Arabidopsis thaliana: one gene and its partners. The protein of the gene in region 3 interacts with the protein of the main gene of each other region in a pairwise test. Each region holds a gene or a part of one and is shown on either strand. Other genes may lie near its edges. The genes, in order: AT2G31220, ERF10 and LBD4.

The links.
Region 1: the proteins of LBD4 (region 3) and AT2G31220 interact in a two-hybrid assay, tested with the Arabidopsis thaliana proteins (one large-scale study listed by BioGRID).
Region 2: the proteins of LBD4 (region 3) and ERF10 interact in a two-hybrid assay, tested with the Arabidopsis thaliana proteins (one large-scale study listed by BioGRID).

What each region holds. Positions count from the first base shown.
Region 1 is NC_003071.7:13,300,919-13,305,399, forward strand, and holds AT2G31220 (basic helix-loop-helix (bHLH) DNA-binding superfamily protein), read left to right. Parts: upstream 1-1,747; 5' UTR 1,748-1,834; intron 1,835-2,055; 5' UTR 2,056-2,095; coding exon 2,096-2,102; intron 2,103-2,154; exon of another isoform or gene 2,155-2,197; coding exon 2,198-3,015; intron 3,016-3,109; coding exon 3,110-3,559; intron 3,560-3,641; coding exon 3,642-3,743; 3' UTR 3,744-3,951; downstream 3,952-4,481.
Region 2 is NC_003070.9:956,584-960,116, reverse strand, and holds ERF10 (ERF domain protein 10), read left to right. Parts: upstream 1-1,733; 5' UTR 1,734-2,118; coding exon 2,119-2,856; 3' UTR 2,857-3,013; downstream 3,014-3,533. Other genes in the region: AT1G03820 (E6-like protein), read left to right, coding at 1-109; AT1G03810 (Nucleic acid-binding, OB-fold-like protein), read right to left, coding at 508-689, 1,109-1,358.
Region 3 is NC_003070.9:11,210,844-11,215,079, reverse strand, and holds LBD4 (LOB domain-containing protein 4), read right to left. Parts: upstream 2,123-4,236; 5' UTR 1,974-2,122; coding exon 1,797-1,973; intron 1,390-1,796; coding exon 1,048-1,389; 3' UTR 513-1,047; downstream 1-512. Other genes in the region: PSAF (photosystem I subunit F), read left to right, coding at 1-69.

The DNA of each region.
Region 1 (4,481 bases), on a different chromosome or scaffold from region 3:
CTACATTTTTAATATATCAAAAACCAAATCGTTGGTTTGGTCCGGCAATACATTTTAACATTTTCTGAGTAATCAGAGTTTGTACTGTTTAGTTAGGATGGGGACAGTCGCAGTGTACCGTGTACGAGAGAGGTAGGTGACCAGAATTTTTTCAGTTTCTGTCGAATTTCAAGAATAACCCTAATTCTTTTTTTTACTAAATCAAATATAAAGTATATTATTATCCCATTCTTGGATGTGGGACCTACTTCCACTACTTCTCAAACAACCCGCTCTCTTTGCTATAAACAGAAATCGCATGACCCAACCGCTCAACAAGGAAACTTATACAATTAGTTTGATCCAAAATTGTTATTTATTTAGAAAAATTTAATAGAAAAGATTGAAATATAAACATATATGAATGAAATGAATTATTTATATTCAATACAGTCCATGTTATTTTTTTACCAGATTCTCTATTATACATCTCTTCAAGTATCTAAATATTTTTCTTATGGATGAATTTTTATTTTATCATTTTATGTTATCGATTATACACAAAGAAAGGAAGTGTTAAATTAGATTAATTAAGTGAGTTGTCGATATACATTACAGGAAGTGTTTGAGATAGAAACTATTCTATGATGGTTTAGTTGTTGAACACAGTTTACTTATAAAATTAGAAAACCCAGGGGTTTAAGTATTTATACTTCTATTTAACTATGATATACATACATAAGTTTTATCAATGCCATGTACAACGTATAGATGAATCAAACTAGATGATGTGATAAATAATTCCATGATTGTTGATGATAAGGTAGTTAATCATCCATAAATTAAAACTGAACACTTTTTATATACAAAACATATCCATTTAAACCGTGCATTAGTATTTTTGGTTCTTGTATTAAGTCGAAGAGTTTTTTCAATTCGAGTATATAATAAAATACGATTGCATAAACATAACACATATTAAACATGAGATTAATTATAGAAGTAAAACATACATCTAAGACAAGAAAATAGTTTCGCGTTAAAATACTTTTATCAATTACAATTTTGTATTTGGGATATTTTTATCCAAATTTTACTAAAATGAAAGGAAAAGGGTAGAAATGGGAAAGAGCAAACGGGGCTACTTGGTTTGTCGGTGTGAGTTAGTGGAGCCCATATCATATTGGTCAGAGAGAAGATCGTATTTGCTGATAATGACGGAAATACCCCTAAAGTCGTTGAAAAGACCTGAGAGATTCGGCAAGGGACCCATCTGTTGATTCTTCTAACCAACCTTTATGTTTGGCCACAATGATAAATCACATGCTCCAACCAAAACAGCCCCCAAAAAAAACCCAATTTATATTTTCTTAAAAGTGAGCTTATAACGTAAAAGAAATATATACAATGCTAATTTTCTTACAACTGGTTAAGTGTTAAAAGATATGTTTAGGATCATATTGGTATTTGGTAATCAGGTTTCAACATTTGAAATGATTAATCAAAAAATAAGTTGCATAGAAAATGATTTAAAAAATGACTATAAACAAGAAGTAATTTCACAAACCATGTAACAAATCAAAACCTTAATAAATCATGCATCAAAGTTGGATTAGAAACATAGCTTAATGGATTATATACAACATTTTCGTTTAAATTAGACACCTAGAATATACATGTTATCCAATAATTTAACTTTGCCATCTTTTTACCCTTATTGTATTGTGTGTCTCCATCTACAAATGTCCGTATATTTCAAACACAGAGAGGGAGAGAGAGACTCTTGTTTAAAAAACTTACTTCTTCTCCTGAAAATTGAGAAGACAGACGTAGAGAAGAATTAATTGTAACAAAGGTTCTAATTTTCCCAGCTCTGATTACTCATTATCTTACATCTCTTTCTATCTATTGTCAAATTCAAACCCTTAACCCAATGTTTAATCTTTTGGATCCTAACAAACATTTCTATGGTTTCGTTTCCAAAATTATAAAAGAGCTAACTTTTTTTGAAATTAGTTTCAAATTTTTGGTTTTTCTTCTTCTTAAAGATTGTTGAATGTTACTTTTGATTTGCAGGTGTTAAAGAATCATCTAGAGTACTCGTTGAACCATTTCCATGGAAGGTAACAAAATTTCATTATTTGGTCTAATTTCTCATGAAAGTTGCTACCTTTTTCGTTCTGGAAGATCTAAATTAGTGTTTGAGTTACAAACGCAGAAGAAAGAGAAAGCCTTTACGAGGAAATGGGTTGTTTCGATCCCAACACTCCAGCAGAAGTTACGGTGGAGAGTAGCTTCTCTCAAGCCGAACCACCACCACCACCACCGCAAGTTCTGGTTGCCGGAAGCACAAGCAACAGCAACTGCAGTGTTGAGGTAGAAGAGCTCTCTGAATTCCATCTCAGCCCACAAGATTGTCCTCAAGCTTCTTCAACACCTCTCCAGTTTCACATCAATCCTCCTCCTCCACCACCTCCTCCTTGTGATCAACTCCACAACAATTTGATTCACCAAATGGCTTCACATCAACAACAACACTCTAATTGGGATAATGGGTATCAGGATTTTGTGAATTTGGGACCTAACTCTGCAACAACTCCTGATTTGCTTAGTCTCTTACACTTGCCTAGATGCTCATTGCCTCCTAATCATCATCCTTCCTCTATGCTACCTACCTCTTTCTCAGACATTATGTCTTCTTCTTCTGCTGCTGCTGTTATGTACGACCCTCTCTTCCATTTGAATTTCCCTATGCAGCCTAGAGATCAGAACCAGCTAAGAAACGGCTCTTGTTTACTTGGAGTTGAAGATCAAATTCAGATGGATGCTAATGGAGGAATGAATGTTTTGTACTTTGAAGGAGCAAACAACAACAATGGTGGATTTGAGAATGAGATTCTTGAGTTTAACAATGGAGTTACTCGTAAAGGAAGAGGATCAAGAAAGTCGAGAACTTCCCCTACAGAACGTGAGAGACGAGTTCACTTCAATGATCGTTTCTTCGACTTAAAGAACCTCATTCCAAATCCCACAAAGGTATATACTTTACTTTGCTTTGATTTCAATTCATGTTGTTAATGTGTATGAGGAGACTATGAAATGAGAGACATTGTTGGTTTAATCTCTGTAGATTGATAGAGCATCGATAGTTGGAGAGGCGATAGATTACATCAAAGAGCTTTTAAGGACAATAGAGGAGTTTAAGATGCTTGTGGAGAAGAAGAGATGTGGGAGATTCAGGAGCAAGAAGAGAGCTAGAGTTGGTGAAGGAGGAGGAGGAGAAGATCAAGAAGAAGAAGAAGACACTGTGAATTACAAGCCACAGAGCGAAGTAGACCAGTCTTGCTTCAACAAGAACAACAACAACTCACTGAGATGTTCATGGCTTAAGAGGAAATCGAAAGTCACTGAGGTCGATGTACGTATAATCGATGATGAAGTAACCATCAAGCTTGTTCAGAAGAAGAAGATTAACTGTTTGTTGTTCACCACCAAAGTTCTTGATCAGCTTCAGCTAGATCTTCACCATGTTGCAGGTGGACAGATTGGTGAACATTACAGCTTCTTGTTCAACACTAAGGTAATGAAAATGTCTCACTAATATAGTTCTGTTATTAACTCCAAACCAATAAACTAATCTTTTTCAATTTGGTTTGAGGCAGATTTGTGAAGGATCTTGTGTGTATGCAAGTGGAATTGCAGACACATTGATGGAGGTCGTGGAGAAGCAGTACATGGAAGCTGTTCCTAGCAACGGCTACTAGATTCCAGACACACTTATGGAGTAGTTTATTGCTTTTTAATAACTTTTGTGATACCCCTCTAATGACTGATTAAGTTATTAATCACTTTGGTAATTTTCAAGTTTATTTAGCTAGAGTTAAAGTTAGAGCTAGAGCTGAGGCTCTTTGTCTGGATTTTGTCTAACTCTATATATTTCTTCTAGCTTTATCGGTTTCGTTTTTCGACCACATTTTAATCTCTTGCGTTTTTTTTTTTAACAAATGCTCTTGCTCATATTTACCTTACGTTTCATATTGCTCTTAATGGGCCAGTGGGCCGTGTCGTTTGAAAAGTTTGAGAATAATCATCAGTCCGGAATTTATAAACCATTGCTTCTTTATCGATTCTGGTTTTCTAACTAGAAATTAAGAAACTTGCTTACATTTTCAGTGGTTCTTTTTACAATGAGCCAATTTTAATCTGGTTCTTTTTACGATTTTTCATTTACCGTTGAATTACGTGTTTAAGCTTTTATTTAATAATGTGTACTATCAATTAGGCTTTGACAAAACAAAAAATGTACTATCAATTAGTGAATGTTAATTTGTTTTAGATCTAAAACAAAAAAACAAGGATGTGATTTTGTCTCAACGCTCTTGTCTTTGCTCGTTGTCTGTCACCCTTTTTGCTTATTCCCTATTTCGAACACGTTCATGTGTATTTTTTTGTTTTGAAGTCTATTTTCACATTTAAAATAAAGTATGTCTGTGAAAAGCTTA
Region 2 (3,533 bases), about 10 Mb from region 3:
TAGTCGCGGGTATGAGAATGCTCGAGGAAATGATCATACCAACGAGTTTGAAACTATGGAGGAATACTACAAGAGCTTGGAGGGTAGTCAAGAAGAGTATGAGCCTTAGAAGGAAATTGTATTTGAGAAAACAAAACACTTTTTTGGAGCAATTAATTATATTGTGCAATCTCCATTTACTTGTCTTTTATGAAAAGTGAAAGTAAAAACACTTTTAAGTTATACAAATCAAAGCTGTGAGTTATATTATGTTTATGCTAAAATTTTTTAACGTTTATCTTAATCTCAATTTATGACCATGATTAATACCAGCGACGAGTATGTGTTAAAAATAGAATCAAAAGACCAATAATACCAATTTAAGAGAACTATGCAAGACCAAAACTACACCATCATAATCTCAAAAGTAATCATAACTGAATATAATCTCAGTGACCTAGAGAGTTCTCTGAAAATTTAAATTAAATAATAACGAAGAGAAGTAGAGACAGACACCGGTTGTAGTCATTAAGCAGTAATTACTTCATACTCGACCAGAGAGAGATTGTTGGCCCGGTTAACCTCGAACGAAACAGGACCGGTTATTTCAATGCGTCCCCATCTGTCAACAGCCATTCTCATAGTGTCCTTGAACAAGTCGATCTTCGCATTCCTCAGTATAACTGTTGCTCCAGTCTTCATTAGATCAACTGCATTTGCAACCCCAAAAGAACATCATTAATTAGTACCATACATATTCTCACATATTGAATAGGAAGTTGTATAAATGTCAAACACAAACACACTAATCAAAGCTTAGAGATTAATGAAGTGGAACATATTGAACACTAATCAAAGCTTAGACATATATAAATAGATATACTCTGTTCATCAATAAACTAAACTATAAGCAAAATTATCTATAAAAAAAGTTAAACTTTATCAAAATCTCTGAAGTATAAATGTTTTAGATCTTCACAAACATAGAGATTCCAATCAAGGCATATATAAACCTAGAAACAGAGAAATTATGGAAAGATTGAACGCAATTTCGAGTGAAAACGATAGAGAAACGATTACGAAACCCTAACCAAGAGAACTTATATATGTAAATAATTAAGATCCTTACCTTGGTCGTTGCGAGCGGTGAAAAGAATGCATCCAGTATCGTCACCAATTAGGCACTCAGCGATACGAGGAGATGAAATTGGCTGCTGCGTCAACGAACTTTTACGAATCGCCGGTTTAACGGGATTCGATTCAAGGACTTTGACGATCAGAGTATGGCCGCTGGTTCCTGGTTTGAGCTGATCCACCTTCACAAACACTGGTTTACGCTTCGGCGCAGTCGTCGCGTTAGTATTCGCCGTCGTCGACATAGTGTCGTAATTTGAATCTCCTTAGGGTTTTTCAAAATAATTGACAACTTTGACGTGATGAAGAGTCGCGCTGGTAGATTAGGGTTTAGATTCTTCACAATGGTATTTAAATGAGAAAATTAGAAACAAATCTTACTCTGGATTATTATCTAAATTACTGGATTATAAATTACCACTAATTCATTTTTTGCGATTTTTAAAACGGTATACATTTTATTGGCGCGTTCAAAATTTGAAACTTAAACTCATTATATTTTCATATTATGCTTAATATTAGTCGAATTTTCTTTTTTTGACATCCAATATTAGTCTAAGCAGATTGTGGAGTAATAATAAATCATCAAATTTTGTTATAATGTAGCAATGTATCATCTACTCAATTTTTATGTATTATAACTTTTGTATCAAAGAATACAATTTTAGATTCATCAAGCTTTCTCGAAGTATATATTCGACATGGATAATTTCTAAGTACTTGTTTATCAGATTCTCAGATAAAATATGAAAAAGCCCAAAGATAATAACCTGTTAAAGCCCAAGCAACAAATGGCGCAAAACTGCGAGACGCAAGAACGGGGACGTTTAGGTTAAAACATAAAAAGGCGTCATAAAACTGTTTTCTCTTTAAGGCGGCGCGTCAGTCAATCCACGTGGACATTTCTTTCCACATTTTTGTCACTTTGTCCTTTTGTGGGATTACGTCACTTCTATAAAACAATAGTTTTGTCCTTTATCTAAATTATTCTCCCCCAACCAAAATATGACCACAGAAAAAGAGAATGTCACTACGGCCGTGGCCGTGAAAGACGGCGGAGAAAAGAGTAAGGAAGTGAGTGACAAGGGCGTAAAGAAGAGAAAGAATGTAACTAAGGCCCTGGCCGTGAATGACGGCGGAGAAAAGAGTAAGGAAGTGCGTTACAGGGGTGTAAGGAGGAGACCATGGGGGAGATATGCTGCGGAGATCCGTGATCCGGTAAAGAAAAAACGGGTCTGGCTCGGGTCCTTCAACACGGGGGAGGAAGCCGCCAGAGCCTACGACTCCGCTGCCATAAGGTTTCGAGGATCGAAAGCTACTACTAACTTCCCTCTAATCGGATACTATGGGATTTCTTCGGCGACGCCGGTGAACAACAACCTTTCCGAGACGGTGAGTGATGGAAATGCCAACCTCCCTCTCGTTGGAGACGATGGGAATGCTTTGGCTTCTCCGGTGAACAACACCCTTTCCGAAACGGCGCGTGATGGAACACTTCCATCGGATTGTCACGACATGTTATCTCCGGGGGTGGCTGAAGCGGTTGCTGGATTTTTCTTAGATCTGCCTGAAGTTATTGCGTTGAAAGAGGAGCTTGATCGAGTTTGTCCTGACCAGTTTGAGTCCATTGATATGGGGTTGACTATTGGTCCTCAAACCGCCGTGGAAGAGCCTGAGACTTCCTCCGCCGTGGATTGTAAGCTGCGAATGGAACCGGATCTTGACCTCAACGCAAGTCCCTAAAGATTGATCTGATGTTGTTGTCCTTGAATAAGTTTGTTATCTTGTCGCTCTTCTGATTGTCTGTACTTCTATTGGTTGATTCGTGCTTTTGGAGGACAAAACAAACATTTTTTTATGTATTAAAAAAAGGTAATTGAACTATTATCGTATCATAACCTAGCCAATGGATTTCGTGTTGACGTGGGGGATAAAGAAGTATTGGTGTCAGGTGGGTCGCACGTGTGTTTTTCGCCGTCCACAGTGACACGTGGAATACAACTTATCTCACTACTTACCTTTTTTACTCACGCGCTCTCTTTTACGGTGATATACACTAGCTCCTTGAATTAGTTATAACTTATAAGAGCAAAGGTAAATATCAAATGAGAGAAAGAAAAACATCTGTGACAATGATTGTATTTAATACCCCAGTAACAAACTGATCCAAAATCAAGATTCTCTTGATAAACAGAAATATGTATGTTTCATCACTTTGTTTATAGCAATGAGTATAGAGTCCACCAAAAGGAGTATATATGTTCATAGATCCCATACATGCATGTATGTGCTCATATATTATAATATTATGTAGTCAACACGTCTCGATATGTACATCTGTCGATGACATACACATGCCTCATATGAAAGCTACTAGCTTTCGTGTGGTGTCCAAAGAAGAACAATTGGAGAACTTGTCG
Region 3 (4,236 bases):
GGTTTCATTTGGCCCGTTGCTGCCTACAGAGAGTTTCTCAATGGTGATCTCATTGCTAAGGATGTTTAAAAAGGGAACTTGTTTTCTGCTTTTGTGTTACTCTCTCTAATCTCTTTGTTTTCCATTGTACTTATTGAAAAACAATGCATTGTCGAAAACCTTATAAAATTTGGATTGCGCAAGTAGAAAGAATTATGGCTAAAATGGTGATTGACAGATTGTGATTTTGCGGTCTAGTGATTGCTATGTGAAGCTCAATTGCTTGAAGGGAATATCCTGATATAACGCACAGGAGCATAACCAAATTTACTTAGTATAATGCTATTTTACCACTCTTGCATTTGCATGAATGCAGGAGAAGCTCTTGAACTATAATAGACTAAATTACTTGTGTTTCTTCTTAAGCTCACTGTAAATTTCTTACCACAAGCACATGCTCCGGTCCGGTCTTTCTGTTTCCTTCATATGCGAGCGATTCTATCAGCGACTATCAAATGGCAAATGTTTGCAAGGAAACCAAAAAATAAAGACAAATGGGCCATAAGTTTGCATAATAAAAATTCAGGCCCATACAAGTGCTTAGTGCTAATTGCTAAGCTAGACTTAGCTAGTATCAAAGATGACCATTACACGATAATATGCTCACAGAGTCAAGCACACACCATGGGTTACATGATCATAATTGTATATAGATATAGATAAATAATATATCTCACAAATTTACATTAGGTCAATAACAAAGATCCCTCCTCGGTTGGAAATGATCAAAATAACCCTACCGGATCATGATCCAAAGGTCCTACACATACACCAAATCCCAAATACCCCGGAATTACAAAGTTACAAATACTAATAAATATATAGAGAGAGATTTATAATATATAAATATATTTAGTATTTTTATGTATCTATATCATGTTAATAATTTCACTCTGTAGTCAAAACAGAGCATTTTCATATCCTACCCCTAAATTTAATATATAATAATCCCGAAATTTCCCAAAAAAGGAAGAGGAAATTGCAGTAGCAGAAAGAGAGCATTATTGACTAGCAAGACCACATAGACTCTCCCAAACTGGCTTCATCCACAATGTCCATATGGCTAAACATGCCCTTGTTGTCCTGTGGACTCACTTGCTTCGAAGACGGTGACCCGCTGCTACTCGGACTATCCGGGCATAGTCCGTGCCCTGGGAAATTAGTCGACTGGCGTACACGTAGATGCACCACCTCAGCTTGAGCTAGAGCTAGCTGAGCTTGCAACACATCTATCTGTTGCTGGAGGGACGAAATTGCCCCAACGCAACCGTAAACCGGATCCCGCACTCTTGCATTAGCCTCGTAAACCATGCTGCTCACAGCGTCCCCTCGCTGGTGGATTGGTAATTCCTGTTGAGTTTTTAAAACATTTTGTCAGCCACTAGACCAATTAATCTCGCAAGACTATATAAAATTTATATAATCCATCTCAAATGTAGACTCTACATCAGCTAGCTAAGAAATGTAAATCATATCATTAACATTAGCTAACAAAAGTTAATATGGTTAAAATTCAACATCAGCTAATAAATGTAACATATTCCTAAATTCTTAAAATTCAACAATTTTGTTTTTAAATCCCTAAACTTATAATATAAACGGGTCGGCCCATGTGGTAGTTGTCAATAAAAAGTTATGGAAATGATAGTAATGTCTCATCTAAAATAAGAAACAAGAAAATCATCCTAATTAAACCTAACCCAACATATGAGTAAGCACGTTTTAGATATTCTTAAGAAGAACAAGAAGAAAGAAACCTGAAGCATCTTGTTGACGTTGCTAGCACCGAACACTCTATGAACATTAGCAAATTTCTGAGGCTCATCGGCCGGAAAATACGGCGAGAAAACGCAATCTTGAGCGCACCGCCGCCGCAAAAGCTTACACGCAGCACACGGTGACGCAGCTCCTTGCTTCCGGCTACTTTCTTTCATCTCTCGCCGCCACGTGTCCTTTGGATATGTGAATTTATCTAGAAGAACTGAATCTCAACCGTTGGATTGTCAGTTATCGAGAAAGCTGTGGGAGGGTCTCTAGGTGAAGTGTGACGGATCTGTGGGGATTTATAGAGTGAGAAAGAGAGATGAATTAAATTAAATTAAAACTGAAAATTTCCAAAGATTTAAGACAAAAGTAAAAAAAATAAAAGTCAGCACATCTGAGAGTGGGACCCAGAGATTTGGAAAACTTTAGGTTTGTTTTGCTTTGGTCGTAGAGCAAAAATTAACATCACGTGACATGACCATTTTAGTTTTACTTTTGGCGCCAAATGCTATTTGTTTTTTTTATATTCTCTTTTTGTCTTTTACCCCTTATCTATTCTCATTGGTCTTAATTTTTTTTTTTAACTTTTGATTTCTTTTTCCCCTTAATTTGTTTTGCCTTTAATGTTTTCTTCGAATATGGTTGAATTAAATGGTACAAGTTGTAATTAATATTCGGAATCACCACAAAACTAAATAAAGAGAAATTGTAAATGATATACTCCCTCCGTTTCACAATATAAGTTGTTTTACCTAAAAGTACGAAGATTAAGAATATTTACTTTTAAAAAGTTCAACCAATCACAAAAGAGACTGCATAATATAAATAATTATAAAATATTAAAATAAATATATAGTTTGCATAAAAACTTAAAAACAATTTAATTGTAAAACAAAAAAATTGGTCCAAAACAACTTATATTATAAATCGAAGAGAGTATAAAAATATTAATCAATTTACTTTATAGCAATTGGTTTTGAAATAGTCGACCTATAAACTTTAATATTGGAATTCTATACTCTTTTTTTTGTAGAGTGAGCTACAAGAGGGTTTTCTGTTTGGAATGTTACATCTTTATTGAAAATGTGTATAGGATAAGGAAATTTATGGCCTCGTGCTTGTGCATGTAATCATTGTTTCTATATCTTTTGTGTATTGAGATTCTCACAACTTTCTACGTGGTCCCTCAATTTGCATAGAAGGGGATTAATATTAAAATCTGAAACAAATGAAACTTAATTTTCCATTGCTTAAAAATCGTGGAAGGGTAAAGTGGAAATCTAAGAAGCAATTCAAAGGAATTAGAGGTATCAATCTAACAACAGATATTTTAAGTTTGATCATAAACTTTAGTAAACTATAATGGACAAGTCTTTATCACCGGTGGTTGGGTCAAGGGTTGAAAGTTTAAACGATGGTGGATGTCTTCTTTTCGGATTCTGTGTGGTGTGGTTAGATCTTCTGTTTTGATGCAAGTCAGTGGTTCTTATTCTCGACTGCTTTGAGTTGATGTTCCTACGTTTTGCTGGTCGAGGACTCTTACAATTTTCTCTCGGCTCGGTGATTTCTGAGATGTAGTTCTAGTTGCGACATAAGTTGGGTTACATCTCTTAGACAATGTAGGTAATACTAATATTGATGTATAAAAAAAAATGCAAAGATATCTATTTGTTGATATTTTAGAACATAAAACAGTATATTCTTAGAACAGAAATATACTATTTTCACATGTACCCATATCAAGATTTTGTTTTTAGTACATTTACATATTATCAAGGTTTTCATTACATATTTGAAGCAGATTTTGTAAAAACTCATTTTACGGTCATTATAAAAAGAGAAAAAACAACCTTAAAATAAACACAAAAAATATAGGGGCAGGGCAACAAAATGTCTAGTCTTTCACTAGTCAAAAAATAAAGTTGAAAGAAACAATACAGTGCACGCTATTTTATTTTCGTAGAAAAAGACAAAAAAAAAAAAAAATTAAAAAAATTAAAAAAAGAAAACGCCCACAGCTTTCGAAATCAAAGATAGCCTGAAAATGACGAATGTAGAACATTTTACAAGGACGACAAAAAAAAACATTTTAGAAGAAAACTCCCACAGCTTTAATAGAAAAAACTGTAAATTCTTTTCATGAGATGTAATATACTGAGTATTAAAACTAACTTTGCTTGTGTACAAATAGGCAAATCTATGTATATTTGCGATTATCATGTTCTTGTTAGAGCTATGTTGATATATATAAAATCGTTTTTTTAGTCGTAATTGGCGATAGAAGAAGACTCCAAAATTTCATGTCAACAAAAAGAAAAAGGAAAGAAAATTCCAAAATGAATTTGGAAGAATTTAGAAAGATAATATTCTTTTATTAGAAGGAAAAGAGAACTACACACACTCGACAGTTTCCACTAGTGATAAGATTTGTAT